Linked DNA regions of Oryctolagus cuniculus. The protein of the gene in region 2 interacts with the protein of the main gene of each other region in a biochemical or structural test. Links are inferred from orthologs where the notes say so. Each region holds a gene or a part of one and is shown on either strand. Other genes may lie near its edges. The genes, in order: PCNA, HLTF, ubiquitin-conjugating enzyme E2 variant 2 and RAD18.

Region 1 (6,077 bases), on a different chromosome or scaffold from region 2:
TCATAGGATATGGGAAAGATTCTCTTTAAAAAAAGTTTTTAATGAGTTTTTCAACTCTGCAAACCCTACCTAGGAAAGTGACTACTGGCGACTGTCAACATCACAAAATGATGTCCAGACACCTTGTGCCGCCACTAGGACCACCACTTATGAAGTACTCATGTTCTCCTATCCCGAAACAAGTAAGACCAAACCCCGAATAGCATCAAGCCTCTACAGCTGTAGTTACCAGTATAGAGCAAACACTAAAATGTTTAGGTTGAACACATATGGAAGCAATCTGCAAGATCCAGAACTGGAAAGTTCTGCGACCAGTTTCTTCAACAGAAAAGGGAACCAGGAGGTTGAAAGAAATTTAAGGGGTATAACAGCCAATTTCAATGTATGAACTCTACTGAAATGTCTTAAAATTAATTTTGAAAACACTGGCAGAAGTTTGGAATATAATTCAAGACAGATGTTTTAGATATTTAGGTTTTACACCTTCATTTAAACTAAGGAAGGACTATGCAGGCAAGGGACAGGAAAATACCTAACATTTACTGTAACCTTAAAATGCCAGACATTGTGCTAAGCACTTAGAATATGGCAAAAATTAAAATAATCCCAGGAAGATCTTTAATTGTTGATTTACAAAGAGTTTTAACTGATGCTCAGGCTAGCAAATAGTTTAATTTTAGTTGACCATATTAGCTCAAACATTTAAAAAATGCTTAAAAACATGATTGTCTACTTCTCTACCTTTAAAATGGGTTAAAATAGCAGCTACAACACATGTAACCATTATATATTAGCTTTATAAGAGCTCATACTAGCTAGACTTTTACCCCAACCACTGAACTGTCCTGTGTACATTTGGCATAAACAGAGTGAACATCTCCAGAAACCTAGGGGACAGATGCCTACTTTCCAAATCTTTTGGGAATTCCTATTTTAAACCCACAAAGCCACAGTTCAGTGCATTCCGTTTTCAGATGATTCTACACTGGATGGCACTTAGACATGGGCAGTTTACAAAGTATGCAGGAAATGGAATTAAAAGATAAGTTTTGGTGCAGTTTTTAATCCATGTAGTTTTCATAATACACATTTTCCATAAAATTTTGAAGATCCCTTAATGGGATCACTTGCAGATTTCAAATAGTAGCAATATTTTCAATTTTCACAAGTAACCTGGAATGCATTTTTATTTTTACCTTTCATAATTAACCTAATTTGTTGGACATTACAATTCTCCAAAATATTTGAGAAATGCTAAATCTAACTTTACTACTTACAGCTTCCTCTTCTTTATCAACATTGCTCGTTTGTGACAACTTAATGTTTCCATTTCCCAGTTCTCCACTGGCGGAAAACTTCACCCCATCTTTTGCACAGGATATTACAACGGCATCTCCAATATGGCTGAGGTCTCGGCATATACGTGCAAATTCACCAGAAGGCATTTTTACTACACAGCTGTACTCTTGTTCCTATAAAACAAACTTAACATTAACTGCTGGAAATCTGACATCCTCACTCTTAAGCAAACGTCTAAACTCAGATCTCAGGTTTTTCTGATTTCTTTAAAACATTACTAGAGACCAGTATTGTGGCACAGCAGGTTAAACTCATTTGCAGACACAGGCAGCCCACACTGTAATGCCAGTTCAAATACAAGCTGCCCTGCTTCTGATGCAGCTTCCTGCTAATAATGTACCTGGGAAAGCAGCAAACGATGACCCAAGTGTTTGGGCCTCTTTTACCCTTGTGGGAGACCTAGAGGGAATGCCAGGTTCCTGGTTTTGGCCTGGGCCAGGCCTAGGTATTGCAGCCATTTAGGGAGTGAACTAGTGAATGGAAGATCTCTTTTCATCTGTTTGCCACTTTGCTTCTCAAATCTTTAATTAAAAACTGGTTAGTATATGACTCACACTCCAACTAAAAGTAGTATGGCATAATAATCATACAAGAACCTCTTAATGATCCTCCAGAGCCAAATCAAGAGGATATTAGGGTTTCGAACAGTAGTGATGGGGCAGACTTAAAAGTGAAAACACATTATGCATTTTACATTTTAAACATTCCCAACAGCTGTTCTCATTTAATGGTGATAAGCCCACCCTTAATTAAAAAAAAGACGCACAGAGGCTAATGCAAGTAAGCACTCCACAGCAAAAAATGAATTCACCCCACAGTCAGTTTTAGGCTGCTACAGTTTAGTAAAATGACAACTGTCATACAAATATACAAATCTTGCTTTGAAAAAAAAAAAAGAAAATCTAGATATATAGGCAGTAGGCATTAGGTTATATTAACACATCTTAAGTAACTGATGACTATGTGCAATCAGAAGCTGATACTCACTGGAATTCCAAGCTGTTCAACATCTAAGTCCATTAATTTCATTTCATAGTCTGAAACTTTCTCTTGATCTACGAAAAGAAAGCAAATGTTAAGAAAAATGTTTTATAATCATGATGTAAATTTTTACGACCATCACAAAAAATTTAAAATTCTCACAGCTGAGAATCAAGAGAGATTTTAGTTCCCTATAGCATAACTCAGTACAAGGTTATGACTTACTTGGTGCTTCAAATACTAGCGCCAAGGTGTCCGCATTATCTTCAGCCCTCAGTGTAATGATGTCTTCGTTGCCGGCACATTTTAGTATTTTGGACATGCTACAACACACAAGATACGGTTTGCAATCAACACCATCTGCTCTAAATCTAGATTCCGAGCGCAATCAGGAGCTACCATGCCCACCCCTCAGGCTGTGTGATAGACAGGTGAGGGGAAACTGGCTGGAGGCTGGGTTCAGGGGTCCAGCACCATTCAGGAAGGCAACCCGGTCCTACTAATACTTAACACCGGAACACACCAGCAATTTCAGCTCTGGGTGTAACACATAAACAGCAGTATTTTGTGCACTGTAAATCCCTCCAGTGGGTTTAGTAAATTAGTGGGCCACGACGACCGTTATTAAGTGAGCTAACAAACCTGAAACACGCCCCACGCACTAGGAGTTATTTCTCTCGAGCCTTTTAAAACTTAACCGTATACACGGACCAGACAGGGAGCAGTCAGGAAGCTGAAAGCCAATGCCCCGGGGAAATGTCCCCAGGACAAATCCAGTTTAGGATGCTCAGTGCGACCGTGTAATAAAGACCCAGAAACATCATGTGGCCCAAGAAGGGTGACACAGAGCCACACGTTGCCACGAGAGCACGTAACAACGCAGTGCGAGTCAACACGACCACAGGTTTCCCCATTCCGGGCTGCAGAGCGCTCCGCGACAGGCGTTTTCCCGCCACCACTCGCTTTTGTGACGTTGGCGCGGAAAAGAGCCGGTTCGCGCGGCGGCCAGCGCGGGCTTTTCGGAACCGCGCGCTCCCCAGGGTCCCGCCTCCCGCCGTGGCAGGCCAATGAGAAGGCGCCGGTGGCCCACCCCAGCCAATGAGGGCCCGCCTCGAAGGCGCTCCCGCCAAGAGCCGGGGATGGCGGTGGGCCAGAGCCCCGGGCTTACCTGGTGAGGTTCACGCCCATGGCCAGGTTGCGGTCGCAGCGGTACGTGTCGAAGCCCTCGGAGCGCAGGGTGAGCTGCACCAGGGAGACGTGGGACGAGTCCATGCTTTGCAGGTTCACGCCGCCCGAGCTGATGTCCCAGCAGGCCTCGTTGATGAGATCCTTGAGTGCCTCCAGCACCTTCTTCAGGATGGAGCCCTGGACCAGGCGTGCCTCAAACATGGTGGCGGGGTCGCAGTGTCGCGGCTGCAGGCGAGTAAAGGAGAAAGTTCTGGCTGAAACTTCTTCGCGAGGCTCAGGACGAGCGGACGAATACAGCGGCGTGTACCCAAGACCCCCCGAAAGACGACGACTGGTTCGCAGCGCCGGCTACCGTTTAATGCCGCCGCGTCTGTAAGCGCGCGCTCTCCGCCCCTGCGCCCCGTGTTAAGGCGTCACGACGCTTCCCCGCCCACCGGCTGGGCGGAAGGGATCCTGAGGACCAATCGTGTTCCTGCTCCGCGCAAAGCCCGCCCCCGAAAGGCAGTCATTGGAGGCTGCTGAAGCGGGGGCGGGGCAGGCGCACAGCGCGCCTTCGGAGGCCGACAGGGTGACGCACTGCCAGCCGCCCCGCGTTTTTCTTAGTTCCTGGGGCGGACGCCAGACATGTCTGGGCGACGAAGCACCGGGTGACCGTCGAGCTTGGTGCGCTGTGTTGGTTTCTAAGCCTCTCGCTTTGAGGGGAGAATCACTGGCTCCCAGCACACACATACCAAGATCATATAATCTCTCAACTGTTTGCTGTCTACAGTTTTCTACACTTTCTTCTATAAAAAGATATTTAAAAAGAAATACGTTCACGTTCCAACAGAGTATGTCACGAACATCTTTTCGGTATTTACTTAATAAAGGTTCCGTAACGTCCCATGTATGCGACCTAATGACCAATTCCTGTTATTAAGAACACCTTTGGGCATTTGGGTGCTTTTGTGAGTTCAACTCCCTGAAGTAGCAGTGATGAATGAAGAGTATACTCATTCAGATAAATTACTAGTTGGCTTCTAAAGATCGTGTGTGTAAGCGTGCTCATCTCCTATGTTTTCTTGACTACAGATACTGAAAGTCTCATTTTTAAATCCGTGCTCAGTTGTGTGAAAAGTTTAGTGTTACAGATCGGTATCTTTCAAATGCTTGTATTTCTTGACGATGTGTGTGTGTGTGTGTGTGTGTGTTTAAGAGTTATTTATTTGAAAGGCAGAGTTATAGAGGCAGAGGCTGAGAGAGAGGTCTTCCATCCACTGATTCATTCCCCAGATGGCCACAACGGCTGGAGCTGCGCCAATCCAAAGCCAGGAGCCAGGAGCTTCTGGGTCTCCCATGCCAGTGCAGGGGCCCAAGGACTTGGATCATCTTTTACTACCTTCTCATGCCACAGCAGAGAACTGTATCAGAAGTGGAGCAGCCAGGACTCAAACTGGCGCCCATATGGGATGCTGGCACTTTAGGCCACAGCTTTACCCCCTTTGCCACAGCTCTGGCCCCAGATAGAAGATTTTATTTTAGGGGTCAATACTGTAGCATAGTGAGTAAAGCCGCTCCATGCAGTGCTGGCATCCCATATGGGCGACCCGGCTGCTCCACTTCCGATCCAGCTTTCTGCTATGGCCTAGGAAAGCAGTGGAAGATGGCCCCAAATTCCTGGGCCCACACACACACATGGAAGACCTGGAAGAAGCTCCTGGCTCCTGGCTGTGTATTGGCCAGGCGCTGGATTGACCAAGCTCCAGCTGCTTGTGGCCATTTGCGGAGTAAATCAGCGGATGGAAGACCTCTCTCTCTTTCTCCCTGCCTCTGTCTCTATCACTCTGACTTTCAAGTAAATGAAAGGATATTGAAAAAAAAATTATTTGGGGCAAAGATTTCAAAAATCCATTTATATCTGGGATCCTCAAAAAGCTTATGGAAAGTGTGTAGCATGTATTTCCATTTTTGCACCAAGATATATTTTAATATCATTTTGCATGATCTTTACTTACAGATTTATTTGAAAGACACAATGACACAAATGAACGCACTCAGGTCGTCCATCCGCTGGTTCACTTCCCCAATGCATACAATAGCCAGGAGCTTGGTACGCCATCCAAGTCTCTCATGTAGGGACGCAACAATCTGGACCATCAGCTGGATCAAAAGCAGGGGAGACAGGGCTTAAACTGGCACTCCAATATGGGCTGCAGGCATCTCAAGCCACGGTTAGCCTGCTGGGCCACAGCGCCCACACCCCCACGACTTTCTGAAGCACCCTCATCTATGAGAACAAATCCCTTGCTCATTTCTCTTGTGTTTTTTTTTTTTTTTCCCAATAGCATTTCTCCTTAGAAGCTTTGAATATCTACCTGTAGAATTCTTTAGCTTGTTGTTACCTACCTAGGTGTGGGTTTAGTTATCTTTATTTATTTTCATTGCATTTCAAAGGCAGAGAGACAGAGACCTTCCATCTGCCTGGGCCGGGCCAGACTGAAGCCAGGGGCCAGGAACTTAATCTGAATCTCTCACATTGGTGGTAGGGTCCCAACTGCTTAAACCATCTT
Region 2 (6,035 bases):
TAATTGACAAAATAATGGCCAAAGCTCCCCCAAAATGATGAAAAACATTAATTCCCACATGGAAGCATATTTCAAAAAGTTCGTGGAAAATGGTATGAAAACATAAGTTTATTTTGTTGCACAGAAATTTTTACATCCTTGTGTAGGAAGAGTCTTCAAAGTTTCTGGAAATGCATATTATGAAATAACTATGCAAGAATTTGAAAGAATTTTTTAGAAGACTTACTTCATTTCAAAGTCAGAGCAACAGAGAGAAAGAGACAGAGAGAGGTCTTCCATCCACTGGTTCACTCTCCAATTGGCTGCAACAACCAAGGCTGATCGTGCCCAAAGCCAGGAGCCCAGGGATCTTTCCAAAACTACCCATATGGGCTACAGGGGCCCAAGCAGTTGCGCCACCTTCATTGCTTTCCCAGGTGCATTTGCAGGTACTGGACTGGAAATGGAGTGGCCACAACTGCAACCAGAGCTCCGATATGAGACGCCGCTGCAGGCAGCACCTTAATCTACTGTACCACAACACTGGCCCCAATTTTGCCAATTATGAAAATTACATGCAAGAAAATGAATTTTTTTACAAATATACACTAAATGATTTCTATGTAAAATGACACATTTGGGATTGCTTTAGCACAAAGAACAAAATAAAGAGATGAAGCAAATGTGGAATAAAACCTGTTAATCTGGATCCAGGGTATATCCAAGCTTATTGTACTATTCTCTACTTTTATGCATGTTTAAAATTTTTTACTAATTTTTATTAATAATTAAAATAATTTTGTTAACTTTGATAGCTCATTTTTAAATCATATTTAATAAAATTAGAGGTTTATTATCCAAATATCACACAAGCAGACTAGATGGCCACAGCAAACTACTGACCAAATAAAGTTACAGTCGGGGCCGGCGCTATGGCACAGTGGGTTAAGCTGCTGCCTGCTGTGCCGGCATCCCATGTAAGTCCTGGCTGCTCCATTGCCGATCCAGCTCTCTACCATTGCCTGAGAAAGCAGTAGATGACCCAAGTCCTTGGGCCCCTGTATCCACATGGGAGACATCGAAGAAGCTCCTGGCTCCTGGCTTTGGATCGGCTCAGCTCCGGCCATTACAGCCAACTGAGGAGTGAACCAGCGGATGAAAGACCTCTCTCTTTCTCTCTCTCTCCTTCTCTCTCTGTGTAACTCTTTCAAATAAATAAATAAATCTTTAAAAAAAAATTTACATAGTCAAATCTGTCTCTTCCTCTTTTTTCTTCCTGCCCCCTCTCATATATACACATGCACAGAGTAGAAAATACAGATTTAGAATGACAGACACAGGAAGAAAAAAGTCATCACAGGTGGCCAGCATTATGGCGTGCAGGTAAAGCCACTACCTGTGATGCCGGTATTTCATATGGGAACCAGTTTCACATTCCAGCTGCTCTACTTCCAATCCAGCTCCCTGCTAATGGCCTGGGAAAAGCAGCGGGAGATGGTCCAAAAGTGTCTGGGCCCCTGCCACTTACATGGGAGACCCGGATGAAGCTACTGGCTCTGGCCTGGCCCAGGGCTGGCTACTGTGGCTATCTGGGGAGTGACCCAGAAGAAAGATCTTTCTGTCTCTCCTTCCATCTAACACTTTCACCTGCTGCCTTCCAGAATCATAACTGGAACTGGGATTTGAATTTAGGCACTCTGATATGAGATGTGGGCATCCCAAAACACGTCTTGTTCACTGTGTCAAACTTTTTGAAGTATCCTTGTGTAGTATTCCTGCTTTCTTCACATGGCTTTGACCTTCCAGAGCTGCAGTTATAGGAAGGGGATAATAAATGTCCCATCTATTCCAGAGTTATTTTAAGGATCAAGTGACAGTGCTGGCAAAAGTGCTGCATATATCATAAGTGTAACACAAAAATAAAATATTAAAGAAGTTCAGGTATTTGGTATCTCTTGCCTATGTATATTACAATTATTTATAATAACTGCATGCATCACCTTCTAAATTTCTCACTTTCTGGGTTAACACCATAAACATATCACTATTTAACTTAGTATCTACTGTTATACTCACTACTCCAGTATAATAGCGTAGTCCAACCACATGACCTCTCAAAGTTCCAAATAAAACTGAATCCAGCTCTTCATCACTAGTCAGGAAGTCATCTGGAGGGATAATATCTTGGAATTCAAAACGTGGGAAAAACGTTGGATATGAGAGGCGTGAAAAATTTCCATGGACTCCATATTGGACCGTCTGCAAATACTTCCAAACAGGATCCCTATGAAAAAAGGAGGGGAAGAGGCACAAAAAACAATACACTACTTAACCAAGTACTTCTCAAAGACTTATCCGTATTTATAGGCCAATAGTTTTTAATATTCTATTTTAGCAAATAAAATCTAATGTGGGAATCACTGTACACAAATTAACAGTCACTCTGGTTAAAGCAGAGACTGCAATAGGCAAAGCTCCCGGAAATCCCACCTGTTAAATTGGCTCGTCCATCCCTCCCCCATACAAAATGAAAAATCCTGTAAAGGGTCACAAATCTCTTTCCCAGTGAAAATCACTTAAATTTAAGCGTATATGACGTTTGTAACTCCAATTTTATGCCAAAATTTAAAGAAGGACTTAGCCAGAAGAAACTTGCAAAAATGGAACCATTATTATGCATGCATACATTAAGTTGTTTATATTTTTTCAGATACTATATCCCGCATCCATTACTTTAATTCCCTAGGAACCGACCGCATTTTAATCTGGTATTCAAGCTACGTCATCTCCCGCTCCCCAATTCGTTGGTTTAAGGGTAACCCCAATCCTTTAATGAATAATGATTTTGGGAATAGGCATGAAAAGCAATCTGGACGAAGGAAAATGAGCGTTAGTCTGGTGGAGGCTTCCGGAAAGTTTCTATTCTCTTAAGAGACAGTCGCTATTTTTGCCTGCGTTTTCCTTCCGCATCACGCACACCTCGTCTAGCTTCTCTGCAACCGTTTGCAACCGTCTGTGCATATACACAAATTACGAACCACCTGGGGACAAGGCCTGTATTGCTCGACCCTCTAGTCCGAGCACAATGTGTAGCGGCACAGCGGAGCTGAATATTTTTTGTTGCCTGAAGCAAGGGCTAGGAAGCCTTGAGTCCCAGGCCCCCCACAGTCCGTGACATAAATTCCCCGAGGGTCTGGCACGAGACTCGCCTGAAGAGTCTCTCCTCGCCAAGAAGACAATGCATGTATTTCTCCCCTAGCCACAGGAGCGAAAAGTAGAACAAACACAAGCTGCACGAATCGCACAGGGAAGGCGGAGGAAACACGGGGAAGGTCAGGTTCATTTGGGGACGCCGCCAGGCCGTTAGCTCCAGTGCCCCACCCCCTTCGCCCCCTTCACCTCTTAAACATCCAGGACATGGCGCTGTGCGGGGTGACGAGGAAGACGCTGGGCGCCCTGGAGGGCTCTGATGCAGCCTGTTACGCGTCCTTCCTGGCCCTACAGCCTTCAAGCCGCGGGCAGGTTCTGAGCGCAGGATGAAATGCTCCCACCGACAGGGAAAGACGCCGCGGGTCTAATCAGACGTCGTCGCCGTTTCCTTCCAGCAACAATACGAGAGACCAGCGACGCTCTGACTGGCGTTAGGACCACCCAATCACGAGAGGGAGCCTGCGGAAATGACCCAATCAGGACACGGAAGGGAGGGCAACTCCGCCCCGCGCTGCGATTCAAAGACAGTGGGGGTCCCGGTTGCGAAGGGCTGTTCCATCCGGGTTCTTCCCCGCCCCCAAGCCGGGCGCGCGGGAAAGCCTCGTGGCCGTCGGAGTGCGACTACCGTGCGATGGTGCTGCGTTTTCTGGTGATTCCCTGCTTCGGAAGAAAACAACTCTCCTTTCTGCTGTTTCCCCGCCACATTCTAAGGCCCAGACACATTTTCAAGCCTCTGCGTCGTTCTGCTGCTCATTTTTCTCATTTTCATTTCTTCGTCTGAATAAGCTCTGCTACAGAACCTGGGCTACCCGCGGAATAACTGTTGCAACCGTGGAGACTTAGTCTTTTTTTCTTTTCTTTTTTCTTTTCCATTTTAAGCCTCGTTGACTTAATCTATGATACACCGAGTTTGGAAAATCTTCATCGGATCTTCCAGAGCGAGTGTTTCTCCCAAGTGTGTGTGTGTGTGTGTGTGTGTTAAAGGAAAATTGTCATTTCTTAGCGCGGGAAGACTGTAACGTATGATGGTACAACTGACTTGGTTGGCGACTGCCGGAAATGGACAACACCAGCTTCCCTGTGGGCCCATGGCTGCCCCTGCCAAGGACGGAAGAAGCTTGTTAAAGTGGGGTTGGGACGATGGACCTGTGGCCTCGGGGCTGCCAGGGACGCAGGTTATCTGCTTGACTCATCCCTCCAATGCCCACTTTGAGGGACCCAGGATCTCTAGTGTAACAACCAAGTGCAGTTTGTCCTCATTTTGAGATGAAACAAGTACAAATCCAGAATGATCACAGTAGGTTATGTTTTGTGAAAAAAGAACGATTGTAACAGGAACAAGAACTGTAGGTTGCTTGGTGGACCAAGGAGGAGGAGAAGCTGACACAAAGTGGATCATCAGGAAGATAAAGGGCAGACTTTAATGCATGGACCCTCCTAAAGTTTGGATTTTACTTTAATGGCAATAGGAAGCCAGTGAATGTTTTTTAAGTAGGAGAATGAGGACTGAATTAGGCTTCAAAAAATTCACTTGTGGCAGTTCTGTGGAGAATGAATTTTAGGAGGCAAGAATAGAAGCAACTGATAGAAAATTATGGTGTCCAGGTAAGACAGAATGGTGGCTTGGAATGGCGAGCTGACAAAGCTCAGAGAGCTAGCAGGATTCACCCATTGATTTGAGTATGGCTGGTGAGGAAGAGGAAGGAATCCAAAACTGCTCCAGCCTCCTGTCTCCCAGTCACAAACACACTTTCTCATCTGTCCCCCTCCCTTTATGGAAATCAATCATGTCACGCCCCCTGTTTGACTTGGTAAACAGGAAATCCAAGAATGGCATGTGTGGCTCTTTCTTCCTTTTTTTTTTTTTTTTTTTGAAAGGCAAAGAGAGGGGGCCAGCACTGTGGCTAGCAGGTAAAGCTGCCACCTGCAGTGCTGGCATCCCATATGGGTGCCAGTTGAGTCTCGGCTGCTCCACTTCCAATCCAGCCTCTGCTATGGCCTGGGAAAGCAGTAGAAGATGGCCCAAGTCCTTGGACCCCTGCATCCACTTGGCAGACCCGGAAGAAGCTCCTGGATCGGCACAGCTCCAGCCATTGCAGCCATTTGGGGAGTGAACCAGCAGATGGAAGACCTCTCTCTCCTTCTCTCTCTGTAACTCTGACTTTCAATAACCAAATCTTTCAAAAAGAGAGAGAGAAAAGAAAAAGAAAGGAAAGAAAGAAAGCTCAATCTGGGTTTCTCACGTGGGTGATAGGGATCCAGGTACTGGAGAATATGAACAGGAAGCTGGGAACAGACGTAGAGCTGGAACTCAAACCCAGGCAATCTGGTCCCAAGGTACATCTTAACCACTGTGCTTCTCAAAGAAATGAATGAATCTTTAAAAAGGGGAGGGGGGGAATATAAAGGTTACCTTTGCAAATGGAGCCTCTGACTAAAATCATATATGCTATATACTTCCATATATTACACCAAAGGAACTTATAACACTGATACCTCTAGATGTTTAAATGGGGGGGGTGTTCATTTTCTTTCTTTTTGTGTATATGCATATAACACATTCTCTGTGTTAAATATATATTGGTTTTTGGCCATAAGAAAGCAAGACACAAAATATAATAAAGAAATGCAAGCTCCTTTTCAACTTATTAAACTAATTTTAGACTCACAGAAAAGTTGAAAAGTAGTATAAATTGTTCCCTCGTATTGTTACCTCATTTATTTTAACACCGTATATGGGGTTGACACTGTGGCGCAGCGGGTTAGCACCCTGGCCAGTTCAAGACCAGGCTGCTCCACTTCTGGTCCAGCTCTCTGCTTTGGCCTGGGAAAGCAGTAGAAAATGG
Region 3 (5,102 bases), on a different chromosome or scaffold from region 2:
TCAGCTGCTGGGGTCCCAAGCTGTGTGCATCCAAAACCTCCACATTGTTCCATAGTGTCCCCCCTAGTTTGTGTGGAGTTTCCTTTGCCATTTTCTCCCTAACCCTTCCCTGAGATTGCACTCCATCCACTTTTTTTTACTATCATCGTCTAGATTAGACCAGTCAGCTCCCCCTCTTTGAAAAACCCAATATAATGTAGTTTTTATCACTTCTCAAAGTCCCTACCTCTTAACACCATAATCGTATTTAATTTCCACTCTCTTAGTATTATTAATATAGGGCTTGGGGATTTAAACCCCTGCATAAGTACTAGGGCCAAGTCATAGTCAAACCATAGCAAAGTCACTCACTAGAGAAATATTTGCCTAAGGACATTTGCTAATACTTTTAAAGGATTTATGAACCTCTTTATTTCTATCTATAGACTCTATCAGCTACGTTACTCATTCGTTAATATTTCCTTTGGGTCCTGATCACCTTACAATCCCACAAGGTGATATAAACTCATTGGAACCTCTTACTAACTTTGATGTGTGAAAAGAATATTTAATATTTTATGTGTCATGTTGTTTGGGGGAAGATACCACATGTTATGGTGGAAAGAAATTATTCTAGGAGTCAGAAAACCTGCTATCTTAATTCTGTCACCAGTGAAATGATATGATAAAAAACAACATAATCTTTGCCTCTAGATTTTCATCTATAAAGTATAAACATGTAGGAGTTTTCATTCTCTGTGTGTGAATGTGTATGGTGAGATGGGGAGAATTAACGTCCTCTAAGGCCCTCTAAGGTCCTTTCTGTTTCTAAAATGTACATATTTTATACACCAAAGTACTGTTCTGTTATAGAACACTTTTATTTTGAAGTCATTAAAAACCATCCTGGAGAAAAGTCACATAAACTCAAAACAACACAGCTGTGAGTATTCAGCACTCCTTGGTTACAAGTAGTTATACCACCATTTAATGGTGTCATTAAAAATGCATTGTCACCATAGTAACTGTAACATTATAAGACACCAGATCTTTCCCTGAAAGGCTTGTGCTGAACAGCTTCCATTGCCTTATGCAACGGTTGCTTCACCTTTTCTTAGCAGATGCACAGCTTTCCTTTCTTTTTCAATTTATTTGGTACCAAGAAAAACCATCAACAACCTGATTTTTTTTTTCCCGAGGACACTTTCCACATTTTATTTACATTTTATGACTAACTTTAATCTCAAAATCACATATCCATACACCTATTTTCTTTTTTTGTTGACTTCACTTGAACTTAAATGCATGGTTTGTTAAACAAAGAATGTAAACAAATATTTACCATGTCTGTTACATGTAACACACAGGAACAGCTTTTAACAGAAATTCATCGACCCCCCCCCAACATTTTTTTATTATAAATACAGGTATCAAAACAATCCTGAACATATGTTTATACTACTAGTAGTCAGCACCCACACCGCTTTAAAATTTAACACAATTTGTGACAATATTCATTGTACCTGCTACTTTAAACAATTTCAACTGCAGCTCTTTCACTAAGCAAGATGGATAAAAGCATGCCATTTCTGTTTGTCCTTCTTGGGATTTTTACTTTTCAGAAACACACGTTTCCACTGCCATCTCACACGTCTCGCCACGCTTGCGTCTTGTAAACCCGAATCCTACTTGGAGCACTCCAGGTTTATGTTTAAATGACAGTGCCTCAACAAGAGAAAGAAAAATTGTGCTGCATTTTTCCTCCCGTTACCTGAAAACATAATGGGTGTACATATATTAAATATATTACAAATGTCCGGGTCACATATACCAGCTGGAATTCTTTACTGAATGTGTGGGTATTCTGCATTGTGATATTTAATCAAGACATTAATATGAGTAGAAGGTTGTTGATTTAAGACAAGTTTGAGATCCATTAAAATTAATTGTTGTATGTTTGTCCTTCTGGTGGCTGTGGAAGCTTCATATTTTCTTTGGACATCATTAGACGTCTTAGCTCTTGAAGTACAACTTTAATGCTATATGAATTTTGCCATTTTGCTAATACTGGTATGCTCCGTGCATCCACCATTCCACTGGAATTATTTATCCCATTCATATTAATTTTTGTTACAAATCTAACTGATGGAGGAGCTTCTGGGTATTTAGGTCCACATTCTACTTTCAGGCTATATATTCTGTTCTCATAATTTGTCCTTGGTGGCCCAATAATCATGCCTGTCCACCTTGTAAGTGTCATATCTTCATCATCTTCAAGGCCCCAGCTAACCGTACCATCTCCTACTCCTTTTTGTCCTTCTTCAAGTTCTTCCAACAAGCGAAAATTACGAGGAACTTTAACTCCTGTGGAGACCGCCATCTTCTCCTGCAGCCCGACGCAGCCCAACAACCTGCTTTTAAAAAGTAAAAATTTCTAGTACTTGGAAGTATACATTACCAGTGGTTAACAGTGCCATTATCTTGCAAATTGGAAAATAAAATTATTCCCACTCAGGACAAAATTCTAGTGTAACTCTCCTCCCAAATCCTTTTCATGTTTTTGCCCCTTTCTTGACATTGTTTCTTCCCTGGTGATTCTTTGTCCTTTGGCTCTGATTTTTTTCCTCCCCTATTCATGACACTCTGTCACACATTCCACATCCTATTTACTCACAGGTAGTCACTAAGAACAAAAACATTTATTGGTATGGACTTCTCTTAAATTACATTTAGTTATTTATTTAAAAGGCAGAGAACAAAGATAGAGAGACAGTGGCAGAGAGAGATTTTCTATTCACTACTTCACTCCCCAAATGCCTGCAACAGTCAATGCTTGGCCAGGCTGAAACTGGGAGCCTGGAACTCAATCTGGTCTCTTGCATGGGTAGAGAGGAGGAGCATCCATCACCTGCTGCCTTCCCAGACACACATTAGCAAGAAGCCAAAAGCAGAAGCAGAGCCAGACACACAAACATGGGATGCAAGTTCCCAAGTGTTGTTGTAACCACTGAGTGCCCGCACCCTCTGTAATGGTCACTCCTGGATGCTATGTGGTTAAAAAAAAAACTGTAGCAAAGGCGAAATGAAGAAGGGAGACTAGTCAGAAAAAAATGCAGTAGGCTGTCAAGTATAGAAGTAGTTTGAATAGCCAGCAAGGGCATGGGTATTAGAAGATTCTTTTCAATTAAAAATGTAACATCTTTGACAAGGATGTTCGGAAGGTTTATTTGCTTTCTTATGCCATCATGGCTGCTGTGTCTTGTCCAGATTCTGATGAACAAGGGGAAAGAACACAATCATGTCTAATCTGTTCCAGGACTTCTGTGCCCAGCTCTGGTTTAGTAAAACATTCAAGTGAACCACAAATACAAAGCAGCTCAGAATTTGTAACAAATCATAGTAAAAGCATTAAAAACTACTTACACACACACACACACACACACACAATCAGTGCCAGGGCAGAAACCCAACATTCCTACCTCCACTGTGTAGTCTTGTTCACTAGCCTGTAATTCCAGTGACCCCAGGTATGTTCCATCCTTTCTCTCAATATTTATTTCAAGATAACTGCACAGCAGTCATCCTAAACAAATGCAACAAACAAGTGAGAGAAATAATTAGTACCTAATTAACCTTGAGATGTTATGAGAAAACTTAACATTGAGTTTTGCCCATATTGGGTGTTTTTTTTTTTTAAGCAAAACAGTCTATTTCTTGTTATTGTCTACTTTTTACATAGAATCATATAAGGACAGATTGTTAAAACTGTAAGGAAACCTTAGGGTTTCTTCTAGTTCAGTTCCCACTTAAATCAGTAAATTTAAGTGGTGCTCCCAAGATCACAATGTGTACCAAAAGTAGATAATATACAATAACACATTGAACCTTCTCTTCCAAGTTTGTATTCAGTCCATTTATCTTTCCCCTTTTCTCAAAATTTTATCCTTCCATTGTCTTTCTTTCCCACGGATGGGCTTGTATTCATTTCATGACTGTCATTGTAAGAATTCCCTTGCATAGGCCGGCGCCGCGGCTCACTAGGCTAATCCTCCGCCTAGCGGCGCCTGGCACACGGGGTTCTAGTCCCGGTCGGGGCGCCGGATTCTGTCCCGGTTGTCCCTCTTCCAGGCCAGCCCTCTGCTGTGGCCAGGGAGTGCAGTGGAGGATGGCCCAAGTGCTTGGGCCCTGCACCCCATGGGAGACCAGGAAAAGCACCTGGCTCCTGGCTCCTGCCATCGGATCAGCGCGGTGCGCCGGCCGCAGCGCGCCGGCCGCGGCGGCCATTGGAGGGTGAACCAACGGCAAAGGAAGACCTTTCTCTCTGTCTCTCTCTCTCACTGTCCACTCTGCCTGTCAAAAATAAAAAAAATAAAAAAAAAGAAGAATTCCCTTGCATATATGCTAAATTTTATTGACTCTCCCTCACTCTGTCATACTTCAATCTTCAATGATAATTAAACCCAACTTTCTTTCAACCTATGCTACCCTGTACTCAAACATCTGAATATGGCTAGGGAAAAGCACTCAGCTGACAGGTCTCTGTTAGGGTGTAAAAACACTAACCTCAAGGGGTTTCCAGTGCTTTCCTATAATCCCACTGAATTACTTTCCTACTCCTTAATTGGCTGTAACTTTAGCCTCCAACTCTACAACTCCCTACACCTTCCTATCTTCACGTTAACAAAACTGAAGCCATGAAAAGAGACTCTCCAAGCCATTCCCACCAGTTCGCACTCCTGTAGTCCTGTAGTCCTGAGTATCCACATATATGTTGCCTTCCCTTCCATTACATAGGAAGACTCCCTGTGCTCCTAGCTCCATTCTTTCTTGACTAGATTCTACCACCACCTCTTCCCCACTATAGAACACTGTTCTTACAATTGCCAACTGATGCCCTGTATCATCCGTTTTTCCTTGCTACTAGATGTAAGAAGAAGAGAGTATTTGGTCATGATTCTGGGTAGGGTCGGGTCCATTCTTCTGTTGTTCTCTCGGGAGGTCAGACATGTGGCTGAAGTCATCTGTTCACTCAACGACCTCACCTCCATGCTTTGTGATTAGCCAGAGGTTGTTGGGCTGAGATGTCTCCATTCTCTTGCTCATAGCCTTTCAACCAGGATGGC
Region 4 (5,495 bases), on a different chromosome or scaffold from region 2:
GCTCTTCCAACCGCTGATTCACTCTCCAAATGGCCACAACGGCTTGAGCTGGGCCAATCCAAAGCCAGGAGCCAGGGGCTGCCTTCAGGTCCCCCACATGGATGCAGGGGCCCAAATACTTGGGCCATCCTCCACTGCTTTCCCAGGCCTTAGCAGAGACCTGGATCGGAAGAGGAGCAGCCAGGACTGGAACCAGCGCCCACATGGGATGCCGGCACTGCCGGCGGAGACTTTAGCCCACTACACCACAGCACCAGCCCCTGGACTGCACTGTTCACTCTTGGACACTGACAAATCATGGACAAGGCTGTCTTTGAGCTGAACATATCTGCAGAAACATGACAGATGTATCCAGAAAAAGCAATTCTTTATTCTTGAGAAAGAAAATACTCAGCTTCCATACTCCCAACTCATTCTATAGGAACAAACACCCTCAAAGAGAAAGGCAGCCTGCAGACTTCCCACGACGTATGGGAAACAACCTGTGGGACCATCCAGCTTAACTTATCTCAAGTCTCTCCTAACTAAGCCATCTAAAACCTTTATTCTCTCCTACACACTGCCCACTAGGTGGGAGCATTGTGCGTACGCAGCTGCCCAGGGTCCATTCTCAAGCACGTCCCCAACCAGGAGCTAACACAGTAAGCTGTGCTGTAGGTTGCCTTCTGGATCACGTGACACCAAGTGTTCTTCAGAGCCTGGACTCCCTTAAAACTTGCTCAAAAATCAAGCGGCATCTATCTCTAATCACAAAAACAGTAAGACGGTCCTGCCTTCTTTACAAGGTACTATTACTTCACGGCTTTTGGAAATCAGTCTGCTACGTCCTTCAAGACAGAGGAAACTAAGGAGCCGATCGCTCCAGTCACGCCCACTTCCCGATCCCCATTCACTTCTTCGGCTTCCGTCTTCTTTCCAAGTCTTCTTCTCCTGGACGCTTAAGCCTCACGCTCCCCAGCAAGCCCCACTGATCGGTGCTCCTGCCCTGGGGATGGGGAAAGCAGAAAACAGCTCTGGCCCACAACACCCAATTTCACAGACGAGCTTGGAAAGAAATGAACTGCGGTCTCCGACGTTTAAAATTTTAGTAGCAGTCCCCAGACCCGACTCAGCTAAGTATTCTGACCGAGTGGGAGCTGAGGAAACAGCAAGCGGGCAGGGACTGGGAGACGTCACAGCTAAAGGAGAAGGGGACTGGAGGGCTGGGGCAGACAGCAGAGTGAACGCTGCCTTTTTTTCCAAATTCGTAAAGCCTAGGAAACACCTACAGAAAGGCGCCGAGTTGTGCTGCGGTGCCAGCATCGTCATGCAGCAGGTAAAGGCACCGCCTCAGCACCGGCATCCCACATGGGTGACGGTGTGAGTCCTGGCCACTCCATTTCCAATCCAGCTTCCGGCAAATGCGCCTGGGAAAGCAGCAGAGGATGGCCCTAGTGCTTGGGTCCCTGCACCCACGTGGGAGACCCAGATGGAGTTCCAGGCTCCTGGCCTCGGCCTGACCCAGCCCCAGCTTTTTGTGGTTATTGAAGAGTAAACCAACAGAAAGAAGATCTCTTTCTGTTTCTACATCTCTCTCTGTAACTTTGCCTTTCAAATAAATAAATAAATCTTAGAAGAAATAAAGAGTCGCGCTCAACTATCTTACCTTCGGAGGCTTTCCTTCTTCTCTTCACGGGACAAACAGCTGTCTAGGTGCTTATTAATGTGACTCTCTGGAATGTTAACCCCACAAACAGGACAATCCACTGTATTTTTTAAAAAGAGAAAAGGGTGTTATTATTTGCAGAAAAATAAAAAATTATATAAGCCAATACCTTTCAGCAATTAAGACAAAAAACGGAATCCCAATTTAACATATACTTAGAAAAACAGAAGAGAAAAAGAATAACCCATGAAGGCAACAGGACCGGGTAACGCTATATGCGGGGAGTCACACAATTAGAATCTTGGGCCTAGAGGAAAAGAATGCAAATGAGCCTGCAAGTTGATTTATTGGAGAATGCTCTGGTTAAGCTTTTCCAGCAAGGTACGACCAAACTCTAAGCTAGTCCTAGGTTTTCCCAAGCGTCAGCTGCCATCCGTATTTAGCACAGACGCAATCACAACAGGCTGGGGAAGACAGCCCGGGTCTGCAGGCAAGGCAGGGGCAGGAGCAGCTTCATCAACGCACTGACTGGCTGGCCCAACTACTGCTCACCTTTCCAACGGGCACGAACTGATTGATTTAGCTTTTATTGGTAATTCCCCACGTAATGCTAAGATTAGTTCGTCACTCCCAAACAACTTCGTGGAGTTACAGGGATCTGGGGTGGTCTCTCAGGTCTACACGGGTAAGAGGCCAGGAGACGACCGCTGAGTATGAATTGTCACGTAAGAATTTCCTACCTTTAGCAACCTGTTTCAAAGTGGATGTAGAGGGGGTCTCGGGACCGTTGGCCTCCATGGAGCCAGGAGTCACCTTTTCTGGGAAACATGTCTCCTTGGGCTCTGCAGAAGGGCCCGCCTCTGTCTGAGGGCTCAATTTGCTTTCCTTTTCGTTTATCAACAACTCTGATGTGGAACTTGCAACTTCCTTGATCAAGAAATTGTCTATCAGTCTGCGGCCATGCTTTGAAGACTGTCTGGCGGCAGCAGGAGTGAGGGCTCTGCCGGTGAGCTTCTTCGCAGAGGAGGACACGGGAGAGATGGGAGGCGACTCCAAAGCAGACTGCAACAGATGACTCCTGAAAGCACAGAAACACAGCAGGCTTTCCCATCAGCCAAAAATACTAATGTAACAACACTCAACCCATCACCAGGACACGAAATGATGCTTAGGGGAATAACACAAACTGTTTTCCCAGTTAACACTTGTTCCTCTGAGATACAGAAGTTAGGCCATAATGACAACCAAACCAAAGTGTTGCTGCTGGAATAAAACAAAAGCAATAAACCTGACTCCAAAGATAGTTCATCGGTGTGTATAAGCAAATGGCAGACTTCAGGCTCTGGTCATGGAACAGCTGATATGAGGCTTATTCTCTCTCTCTTCTTTTAAAGATTTATTTATTTGAGAGTCAGAGTTAACAGAGAGAGAAGGAGAGGCAGAGAAGCAGAGAGAGAGAGAGAGAGAGAGAAGTCTTCCATCCCCTGATTCACTCCCCAATTGACCACAACAGCTGGAGCTGCACCAATCTGAAGCCAGGAGCCAGGAGCTTCTTCTGGGTCTCCCACATGGGTGCAGGGGCCCAAGGACTTGGACCATCTTCCACTGCTTCCCTAGGCCATAGCAAAGAGCTGGATCGGAAGAGGAGCAGCTGGGACTTGAACCAGCACCCATACGGGATTCTGGTACTGCAGGCAGCAGCTTTACCTGCTACACTACAGCACCAACCCCAAGGTTTATTCTGTAATCAAAAACAACTTTCTTCTAACATACAACAACTGGGCTGTAATTAATACAAGGGAGAACAGACACGGGGAGTGATCTAAAACTCTCATGAGGGTCACCCCAGGAGAATTTTCTGCAAGTTGTGCAGAAGCGTAAGCAAAGCCAAAGTCAACCTTACCCAACCAAACACTGCACCTCACCTCACCAGAACAGAGCTGAAGAGCTGCTCATTCAACTGCCATCACAACAAAGTTCAACATCTTTCAAATGAGGATAATTCACAGCTTATATATTTCACCTACAATACTCAGCATGTATTTTTAAGTTACCAGGCATGCAAAGAAGCAAGGAAAAACACAGGCACTAACCAAGAGAAAAAACAGTCAACAGAAGCAAACCCAGAGGTAATCCAAAAAGAGGCATTAGCAGGCATGACTTCAAAAGAACTGTGATAAGCAAGTTACAGAAAAAAAGACGACAAATGGATAAAAAAGATAATGTACTTCAAGAGAGTATTAAAATCCTTTAGAAATAATCAAATGAACATTCTACAGTTGCAAAGCTGGATGAGTATAATAGGAGACAGCAGAGGACGGTATTAGTAATCATTAAGACAGGACAACAAGAAATACACAAACCCAAGTAGAGAGAGAAAAAAGAAGAGAAAAGACAATAAAAGTAAAGTACGATATATAAGGGTAAATCAAAAATTATTTTGCTGAAAAAAAGTGAAACCCACCATAGGTTTTTCATAACAGACATTTCTATGAATTTTTTGAAGACTTCCTGTAGAGATAATAACTGGTATCCAAAAGAAGCAGGAAGAGAATGGGAAATATCAGAAAAATCGAGGATTATGAACTTCCAAATCTTATAAAAAATCAAAATCTGCCACTTTAGAATTCAGACTAAACTAACAGAAAAATAATTAATAAATATCCCAATATTATATAAGCATCACAATTCTAAATAACTATACAGGACAAATCACAATGGAAATGTAAAGATATTCTGAGGTAAATGATAACATGAGAGTTTAACAAAGTAGTCCCTAAAGGAAAAATTGGATTAATAAGAAACAAACAATATTCCAAGCTTAGAAACATCAAACTAAAACCAGAGATAGAAGCAAATAATAACAGAGAACAAAGAACAGAAAAGAGACACATCCTGTGGCACAGAACCACAATTTGCAACTATGGCCAAGTGCTGGTTCAAGTTCCAGCTGCTCTGCTTCCAATCTAGCTTCCTGCCAATGCACCTGGGAAGGCAGTAAATGATGCCCCCAAGTCCTTGGCTGGTGCTACCTACATGGGAGACCAGGATAAGCTCCTGGCTCCTGGCTTCGGGCTGGCCCAGTGCTGGCCGTTGTGACCATCTGGGGACTGAATCAGTGAAATCAATCAATCTCTCTCTCTCTCTCTCTCTCTGTAACTTAGACTTTCAAAATAAATAAATCTTGAAAAGGTACAATGATTGCATTTGGAGAGAAACACACAAAAAAGTATTTTTTATTTGCAGGTGAAATGATTATGCACACAGAAAATCAAATTCAATCTATAAGAAACTGGAATAAATGAATTTTTACAAGGTCCTGGTTCCCTGTCAATAAACAAGAAATTAATGTGTCTCTATATATTAGCAAGCAGAAAATAACATCTTTAAATACCACTTACATAACATCAAAAATATTAAACATCTAGGAATACATTTTTTTAATGTGTAAAACCTATATCCTGAAAACTTCAAAACATTCTTAAGAGAAATAAAAGAAGGCTTAAATAAACAGATATTCCAGGTTCTAGTCATCGTCCAGATGACTCAACAGTGTTAAAATGCCTATTTTCTCCAAAATGACTCACAAAGTAAATGCAATCCCAATCAATTGATAAGCCACTGTTTTGGGAGAGGAAATAATAAATCATTCTGAAACTTCCACAAAAATGCAAAGGCCCTATAATGCTTGAGTCCTGAAGAACAACGTTTGAGAAAAGGAACTAACAGCGTTCAAGGATTTCAGCAAGCCAGCTACCATGCTGGAGACAGCATCATTTTGCAGAGAGACAAACAGGATACGGAACACACTGTGTCCAGTCTTATTTACATCATCTTATTTACATCATCT

The links.
Region 1: of the proteins of HLTF (region 2) and PCNA, one has a biochemical effect on the other in vitro, tested with the Homo sapiens proteins (2 studies listed by BioGRID). The link is inferred for Oryctolagus cuniculus from reciprocal best matches to the Homo sapiens genes HLTF and PCNA.
Region 3: the proteins of HLTF (region 2) and ubiquitin-conjugating enzyme E2 variant 2 form a complex in vitro, tested with the Homo sapiens proteins (2 studies listed by BioGRID). The link is inferred for Oryctolagus cuniculus from reciprocal best matches to the Homo sapiens genes HLTF and UBE2V2.
Region 4: the proteins of HLTF (region 2) and RAD18 form a complex in vitro, tested with the Homo sapiens proteins (2 studies listed by BioGRID). The link is inferred for Oryctolagus cuniculus from reciprocal best matches to the Homo sapiens genes HLTF and RAD18.

The regions. Positions count from the first base shown.
Region 1 is NC_091442.1:30,189,028-30,195,104, forward strand, and holds the start of PCNA (proliferating cell nuclear antigen), read right to left. Parts: upstream 3,970-6,077; 5' UTR 3,730-3,969; coding exon 3,509-3,729; intron 2,664-3,508; coding exon 2,566-2,663; intron 2,415-2,565; coding exon 2,347-2,414; intron 1,473-2,346; coding exon 1,278-1,472; intron 1-1,277. UniProt on the Homo sapiens protein: Auxiliary protein of DNA polymerase delta and epsilon, is involved in the control of eukaryotic DNA replication by increasing the polymerase's processibility during elongation of the leading strand.
Region 2 is NC_091435.1:132,373,410-132,379,444, reverse strand, and holds the start of HLTF (helicase-like transcription factor), read right to left. Parts: upstream 3,649-6,035; 5' UTR 3,399-3,648; coding exon 3,379-3,398; intron 2,264-3,378; coding exon 2,056-2,263; intron 1-2,055. UniProt on the Homo sapiens protein: Has both helicase and E3 ubiquitin ligase activities. Possesses intrinsic ATP-dependent nucleosome-remodeling activity; This activity may be required for transcriptional activation or repression of specific target promoters.
Region 3 is NC_091441.1:59,363,692-59,368,793, forward strand, and holds ubiquitin-conjugating enzyme E2 variant 2, read right to left. Parts: upstream 2,400-5,102; 5' UTR 2,360-2,399; coding exon 1,922-2,359; 3' UTR 1,163-1,921; downstream 1-1,162. UniProt on the Homo sapiens protein: Has no ubiquitin ligase activity on its own. The UBE2V2/UBE2N heterodimer catalyzes the synthesis of non-canonical poly-ubiquitin chains that are linked through 'Lys-63'. This type of poly-ubiquitination does not lead to protein degradation by the proteasome.
Region 4 is NC_091441.1:117,604,172-117,609,666, reverse strand, and holds part of RAD18 (E3 ubiquitin-protein ligase RAD18), read right to left. Parts: intron 2,724-5,495; coding exon 2,386-2,723; intron 1,746-2,385; coding exon 1,646-1,745; intron 1-1,645. UniProt on the Homo sapiens protein: E3 ubiquitin-protein ligase involved in postreplication repair of UV-damaged DNA. Postreplication repair functions in gap-filling of a daughter strand on replication of damaged DNA.